Linked DNA regions of Styela clava. The protein of the gene in region 1 purifies or fractionates together with the protein of each later gene. This does not show direct contact. Links are inferred from orthologs where the notes say so. Each region holds a gene or a part of one and is shown in the gene's direction. Other genes may lie near its edges. The genes, in order: ribonucleases P/MRP protein subunit POP1-like and ribonuclease P protein subunit p29-like.

Region 1 (3,938 bases):
ATTAACAAATAAATTTTTTGCCGAGTTTTTGAGAAATGAGTTCCATGGTGAATGTTGGAAAATTCTTAGTTGCTCCATTTCTATTTATGCTGTTTATATAACTGATATTACTTTACACTTTGTAATAAAATGTTGCTACAAACTTCAATCATTTTTGTTGCCACAGCAAAGCATGGATGATTATGAATATTGAAGTGAAATTACAATTTCCAGCTATTTGATATAATCTTGTTATTTGATTTGAAAACATTATCAAGTACCGGTAGTTATGTTTGCAATAATAAAAAAAAAAATATAATTGATCTGAAATTCAACCTGTATTATGAAGTCTATGATCATGCTCCATTTGTAAAAACTAGACTTTCAAATGTGAACACATATTCTGTACCTGGATTTCTCAAAGGGATATTTTTATGACGTGTTGTCTAGCAAGGCATGGTCTAGCCATCTCTAAGATATTTAGAACCAGCCATTCTTTAGTCAGCTATTTTTCAGTAACATATTGGCACAATAGAACCTAATTAGCTTATGGGTTGTTAATGAAACCCCATTTTTGTAATTTGCATATCTGTACAGCCAAACCTTATAAAGGACATAAGGCACTACCTAAAATCAAAACTAAATCGGGTTCAGTTTTGAAACCTAGACCAGAAGATGGTCACTGGTCCAAGATGACGGAAATTCAAAAAAAGTACACTTCTGAAAAATGACTTTGGTTTTACTATGATGGTATGATTATTAATTAGGTTATTAATGATGTAATATGAGTGAAACAGATTTAGATTGCTCGTGAACTTTTATTTCGTATCAAATTGAACAAAATGCGTAGTGAAACGGGTATCATAGATAGTTCTTAGTCCTATCATTTTGCTCGATCCTTATTTCGAATTTCACAGTAGCTAATTTTTTTGTGCTTGAATGTATTATGTATGATTCTTTCTTGTTTTTATAAAGGTTAGAGCACTATACTAAAATTGATAATTAGGTTTTCGGAAACTCCTTTTTTGATCATGTTTTACATACCGGTACTTGCTATTTTATTCAAGACTCATCGATAATTCAAAGGAAAAATTTTACATGGTGAAACGGTAAGTAATATTTTCAAATTTACATGACATTTCTGAATAATAGCTGCAAAAAACATCCAAATGTTTAAATTTACTGAAGTATGAAACACTTTTCATGTTCTAAATTGACGATTTGGTGCTGTGGCTTAGTCGTTATAAACACACCATATGTTATAAACACTTCTCTATACCCATTTCCTGACTATAAAATTTTTGATAATAGCCTCAATAATGTCTTGGATCAAGAACGGTTCTTTTTCTTCGGATCCGTAGCTACATTTCTGTATTTTGAACTTTCTTTTCTGGTAGAATATCTTTGCTTAATAATTGATATTTAAACCAGTCATCTTTTCTTTCAGTTCATTAAACTCGTAGGATTGAAAAATGGAGGCAAAACAGAGTAATAGCAAAGCTGCTAGTATATCTCAAAGTAAGAAGCTAGTTAACATGATTCTATGGTAGTGTGAGATTATCTACCTAACTACGATGTTCTTGAACTTTATAATTAGAATTAATATGAGAGGTTACATCAGGATATCATTTTCAATGAGTTATTCTAATTCTTTTAAATACCTCATCAGTCATCTGCTGCAATGGTTTAATATAAAATTTCAACCTTAATTAATATCATAAAACTCACAGCTAAAAGGTAATTCAACTCAGCTTGACTTGACGATGAGCAGCATGATCGACAAACTGCCAAACATTTTCAATTTCATTGGTTGTTTCGTACTTGCTTTTGAATATTTTGACCAAATTTTTCAACAGATGCATCTGCCAAAGTCGGTAAAGCTGGTTCTGAGCAGCAACAAGATTCTGTTACTAATCGTATCGTTCGCTGGAAGAAACGAATGAGATATCAGCCACAGAATGTGGTAGTCAACAAGAAGAAAGATTGTATGTTGTCTAGAAATTAAATATAACTTGAGATACTGATAAGTTGTTAAATTTGTTAAATCAATTTGTTTTTCGAATTCTCAATTTTTTTCTGGACAACCTTTATCAGATATCAACAAATTTGCCGGTTTTCATTATTTTTGCTAAATCCTGTAAAATTTCTCCAAACCTAGATGAGAGAAAGCACTTCATAGTTCATAGAATTTAATATGTCATATTTGGCAAAAATTATGCAGAGACTTTTGTTGATTATATGCAGTCAAAAACAACTGAACAACCAGGGTTATGGAGTCTTCTTTAGGTTACCAAAACTTTCCAGCTCCTGACTCCTGATAACAAAATTTGAAATAAAAAACTTTAGCGTATGCAATCATTTAAGTTCGATTTGAATTTTTTTTTTTTATTTCCGACCACAGTACTTGTACCAAATACTAAATCTGACTATACATGTCATGGGTATAAAATTTTGTATACTAATAAAATTACATAAATCATCAAAGCATAATTTCATTTTTTACCAATCATTTTTCAGCTTCTCGTCATGAATATTACAAAGATATGGTTGATTCGGAATCACAAAGCCAAGTTGAAATTCCTAGAGGTAATATTCAATATTCATGTACAATGTATAGAAGCAGTTCATGTCTTTTTAGGTATTTGCACAGCAGCATCTCACTAGTGTTTATGTCCACTAGGTACAAAATTTCACAAAAAAAGAAGAATTTGATCGGAACCTTGGTTCTTTGCTCCGCAAATAGTTTAGTTTCTTCAGTCATCCTCATCCATTCACACATGCAATATTCGTTTGAAAGTTTCGTTCTTCAACTTACCGAATTTATTGATTCGGCCAATTTTAGTTGGGTGATTAAATTAAAACAAAATCTAGCCATGGATGAGATTACTACTGAATTTTCTGAAATTTTGTTTTAAAATCCATTTCAATATTGGATATTTGAACCTCCATATGTAGCAGCAATGGTAATGTTTTTTTTAATTTCATTTTGTAAAATGGGAAAAAATGACATAAAAATAATTTATAATAATAATTGAGATTATATACCAATTTTAGTTATCCTCATTATTTTAAACTGAAAAATTTTGATCTTACTGTATTTGGTATCGTTTGCTTTTATGGCCATCAACTGGATTTGACTTCTGGTTGAATGACTTGACAATTCTTATGGTAGTTACTAATTTTTTTAACTGGTTCGCCACATCAAAATTTTATATTCAACATCAAATTGCAATATTGATAATCAAGAATCAAGATGATTTAGGCTTTACAATTTTCTCATGAATCCCCCTTTTTTTTTAAATACCTATCACACTTCTACAGGTGATAAGTGTCAATTCTTATTTCTTGATATATTTTAGCCATCTGTGTGGCTGACAAAGTAGAATCATCTGCCAAAGAAATGAAAGCGATGCTACAGGCGGTATCACAGCACACAAGTGATAGAGCTGTCCTACAGGTAAATAACAGGATAATCATTTCCCTTAATTGTTTATTAATACTGAATGAAATCAAAGTATAGAGCAGGGGTCGGGAACCCATGGCTCGCGAGCCATATATGGCTCTTTTGGTGACGGCATATGGCTCCCAGAAAAATCTATTATTCTAAGATTAAGCTTACTATTGTTACTAGACTTCAAACTATTTTATGGCCAAATTTGGCAAAAAATTCCCAATACGTTTGACAACGCGGGCCCAGCGCATGTCTATGTTATGTAAGAAAATTACCAGACAGACATTGTGACAAAACATGGGGATTCTGGAACATATATTGTGACATCACAAAGCGATAGAGTTTTAAAATACTACGGAGATGCCTAAACGAAAAAGGGTGATGAGTATCGTAGATTTCAACTTGGGCTGCATGTGAGCAACCGTTCAAGGCCCGCAGCGACAACATGCAGCATCAGAAGTCACATTAAATGTATATTGACATGGAATGTGTTGACTTTTGAGTAAAC
Region 2 (3,540 bases), on another chromosome or scaffold:
AGTCACCTAATGCCAAATTGCCCAATCAGAATTGTCAAGTTGGATGAATGAAAATGTGGATAGACCTAGTTCACTCTATAGTAGTGATATGATAGCATAAAAGTCATATTGGGGATGGCTAAATAGGTTGATGGGTGTCAAATTAGGAATGACAAAATACTGAAATAGGGTCGATGAGTCAAAATCTCAATGGTTGCAAAAGGGATGGCGAACTACGTTCGATGCGTTTCAAAATAGAGATGGCAAAATGCGGGTAGCCCAAACTGCTGGCAGATGCATGGACTTTGCAGCTTTGGTATGCAGAAAGACGTACCGGTACCGTACGGTTTTGTAGTTGAACTGTGAACGAACAACCCATACCGGTACCGGTACCAGTAGTTTTGCACTTTCACTAAATTTTATCGCTTCAGTTGTAACCTTTCAAGAATTTAGAGACATACGGTAGGCTACTCGTACCGTTATTATTTCCTTGTTAGACTTGCTTAAGGGTGCCGCTGCTCAATAACCAAATTTGGTTTCTTGTGGCTCCCCTCACCCTGAAATGCCTTTTTATTTATTTATTGCAATTTGTATATCAAGTGTGCATTTAGTATGGTGAGAAAATAAACTACTGATTACCGTGGGTTTACCGGTAATGCTATAATAAAATAGAGCTGTAGAGAGTGAAATGTCAATAGCAACAAAATATTTGGGCTGTTATCAGGACGAGAGGCTACGGTGTTGGTTATATGATAAAGTCGTCTCATCGGTTTTTCTCTCTGAATTTTAACTTCTAGCTTTCTTTATCACGATCTTTGTTCCTGGAAAGACATCATGATTATTGCTTTTTTGTGCAGCAGTAGGTAGCCTAGTTCAGGAAATTTGTATTTTACAATTTGGGTCTCTTATATTGCAGTGTGTTGATATTTAAACCTTAAACATGTCTCGGCAAGGAACATATTCATATGTGGAAGCATTTATTCAAAAAACTATTCCTAAAATAAAAGAGCGAGATTTGAAAACTTTGAAGTCATCTTTGAGAAACAAGCCTATTATGTTGGTAGGAGAACAAAAGAGAGCTAAAAAGAGAAAACGTGAAAAACAGAATAAGAGAAGAATAAAGAATCGCATATTGGCGAAACCTACAAATTCAAACTATCAAGATTATGAAAAACTGCGTATTTTATGGATGGAATACATCACAGATTTACTCTCGGATTATCAGACATTAAAACCAGGAGAAACCAAACCATCTTTGGATAACAAAAACGCACAGGAAGTTTTGTTGAAAGCAGATTATCATGGAGCAGATCTGTCTGTGACAGGTTCACCTTGTAAATCTCATTTGGGTTTGAGTGGAACAGTCCTTCAGGTGTGCCAATATATCTGTATTATTAACCTTTTTTATTAACTCATTTTGTCCTTGTTTTGAAGTGCACTGGCACAATATGTGATTTCATCATATATCAATGGTATTTACAGATTCAATACTAATTGGTGATTGCACTCTACACATGCAACTTTTGACCTCATAATATATAGAATAAATTATTATGTTTCCTGATTATGATAACTGGATGACTTGGTAATTCGTTCAAAGGATTGTTCAGTGTGTTAAATATGCATACCAATATTTCCGTTTTTTTATTAAATTAAGTTATTTTATCTCATTTTTTCAGGAAACAAAAAACATATTTTTGATCTGCACCAAGGAGAACAAATTAGTGAGAATTCCCAAGAACAAGACTATATTCACATTGGAATATTCTGGATATCTTATAACAATATTCGGATCACAATTTTGCTTCAAGCCATCTCATAGACTCATGAAAAGATTTACGAAAAATCCACGCTTAAAAGAACTTTTGCGATGATATAACTTTTTTGCAATGCAGTTAAACTAAAATTGTTAAAGATCGGAGTTTAATGCTAAGTGATTTGTATTTCATCAAAAGCGTAATTTGTCTTCTGTTGCTTAGCAACCATCTTTTCAAAAATGTGGAAGGATATTAGTTATTAATTGCAGCACATAATTGTTAATTTCACTCAGTGTTGCATATAGATATCTTTATATCGTTTTAATGTTAAGGCCTTTTCAATTCACAATAGGTTCTCCAATACTGCTTCTCCATCTTCGAGGCTAGATAAATCTTTGTCACCGATCACCGCATATATGATTAGTTTTAATACGGGAAAATTGTGAACAAAGTGTATCAACAAAGTGACTCGCACAGACCATTTATTTTTACACAATTTTATGCGAACTCAATTATTATTAACACCCTACTTGGCCTACTAGACGTCGTTCTGTTAACTTATTCCATACTTCACTGCCTTAAATGGACCTTAGTTACTGCCTCTGGTTCAGAGGCTTATTAATAGGTAATCAACGTAGTGCAATCTTCACAGGAAATAGGTTTGTTTAAAAACAATACTACAGTATAAATTCTGAATGAATAACCATTTACAGTCTTTGCGATTAATTAAAACTCTGGAAATACAACACTCTCCCATTCAAGAACCATCGACATTCGACACCTGTGTATTTCTATTTATATCATTGAAATTTATATGGTGTTCGTTCAACTCTTACATTTTACTCAAAGAGAAAACAAGTGAAATATTATTTTGTAAGACGTGGTAACTAAATATAAGGACAATGAACTGGCAACTTGCATTTACTGACATTGCCACCCTCTCACATCCAACTCTATTATCATTTTTCTTGTAGTTTAGTGTTACTATATTAAATATGAATATATAGATCATGGAATGCATCAGAAGGTTAACAAGGGTGAAACTCCATCAATTCTCAGCTTGTAAGTCAAAATTTTTCTCGAGAATTTGTTTCAATCATTCAATTTTCAAATACAGGCATTTATCGAAAGTATATTTTTCAGCACCAACATTAAAAATCCCAAGTTGCTGTGCATCGACTGGTGGTAAAAGTAACACAAGGAATAAGAAACAAATAAATAGGAAAAGATATAGAGGAATTAAAGTTGACGATGGTGGGTTCTTGTAGAGATTAACCTTTTTTCATTCCAAATTTCTACTCCCCCTTTTGAGATGTTGGGCAATTCCAGCGTTACTTTCGTTACATCTGAGCAAATTTTCAAATTTCAAACTGACTTAACCTAAAACGTATTAGAAGTATGCAAGTCACATTGTTACTAGTTGTAGATGGCGTTAGGGGTGTAACATAGACACCATAGAGGTGGCGATACTATGGACTACTTTAACATAGGAATGTCCCGAAACACCGTTACTTGCGTTACAGAAAGAGGACAAATGAGATAAGATATTAACACCAACTAACTACTTTTTGCCATGTCACTAGAGAATATAGTTCAATTGTAAAACCATAAAAAATTAGGTGAAAAACTTTTGTCTGAATAGCAAAATTTTCATTAGGAAGAAAAAATGGTCCGTTACTTACGTTACAAATTACAATCATGATTCGATTTTTGTTTTGATGGCAAATTTGATATTAAGTCAATATTTGACATTCAATTTCCGTGAGTTCAAATTTTTAAATAATAAATCCTTGACTAGATGATA

Evidence for each region.
Region 2: the proteins of ribonucleases P/MRP protein subunit POP1-like (region 1) and ribonuclease P protein subunit p29-like purify together in Homo sapiens (affinity purification with mass spectrometry; 5 studies listed by BioGRID and IntAct, counting the BioPlex papers as one, with this or other methods). This does not show direct contact. The link is inferred for Styela clava from reciprocal best matches to the Homo sapiens genes POP1 and POP4.

The regions. Positions count from the first base shown.
Region 1 is NC_135257.1:9,026,246-9,030,183, forward strand, and holds the start of ribonucleases P/MRP protein subunit POP1-like, read left to right. Parts: upstream 1-948; 5' UTR 949-1,088; intron 1,089-1,426; 5' UTR 1,427-1,451; coding exon 1,452-1,497; intron 1,498-1,835; coding exon 1,836-1,964; intron 1,965-2,496; coding exon 2,497-2,565; intron 2,566-3,338; coding exon 3,339-3,436; intron 3,437-3,938. UniProt on the Homo sapiens protein: Component of ribonuclease P, a ribonucleoprotein complex that generates mature tRNA molecules by cleaving their 5'-ends. Also a component of the MRP ribonuclease complex, which cleaves pre-rRNA sequences.
Region 2 is NC_135262.1:12,185,559-12,189,098, forward strand, and holds ribonuclease P protein subunit p29-like, read left to right. Parts: upstream 1-825; 5' UTR 826-919; coding exon 920-1,351; intron 1,352-1,658; coding exon 1,659-1,853; 3' UTR 1,854-2,710; downstream 2,711-3,540. Other genes in the region: large ribosomal subunit protein bL27m-like, read left to right, coding at 2,747-2,798, 2,880-2,990. UniProt on the Homo sapiens protein: Component of ribonuclease P, a ribonucleoprotein complex that generates mature tRNA molecules by cleaving their 5'-ends.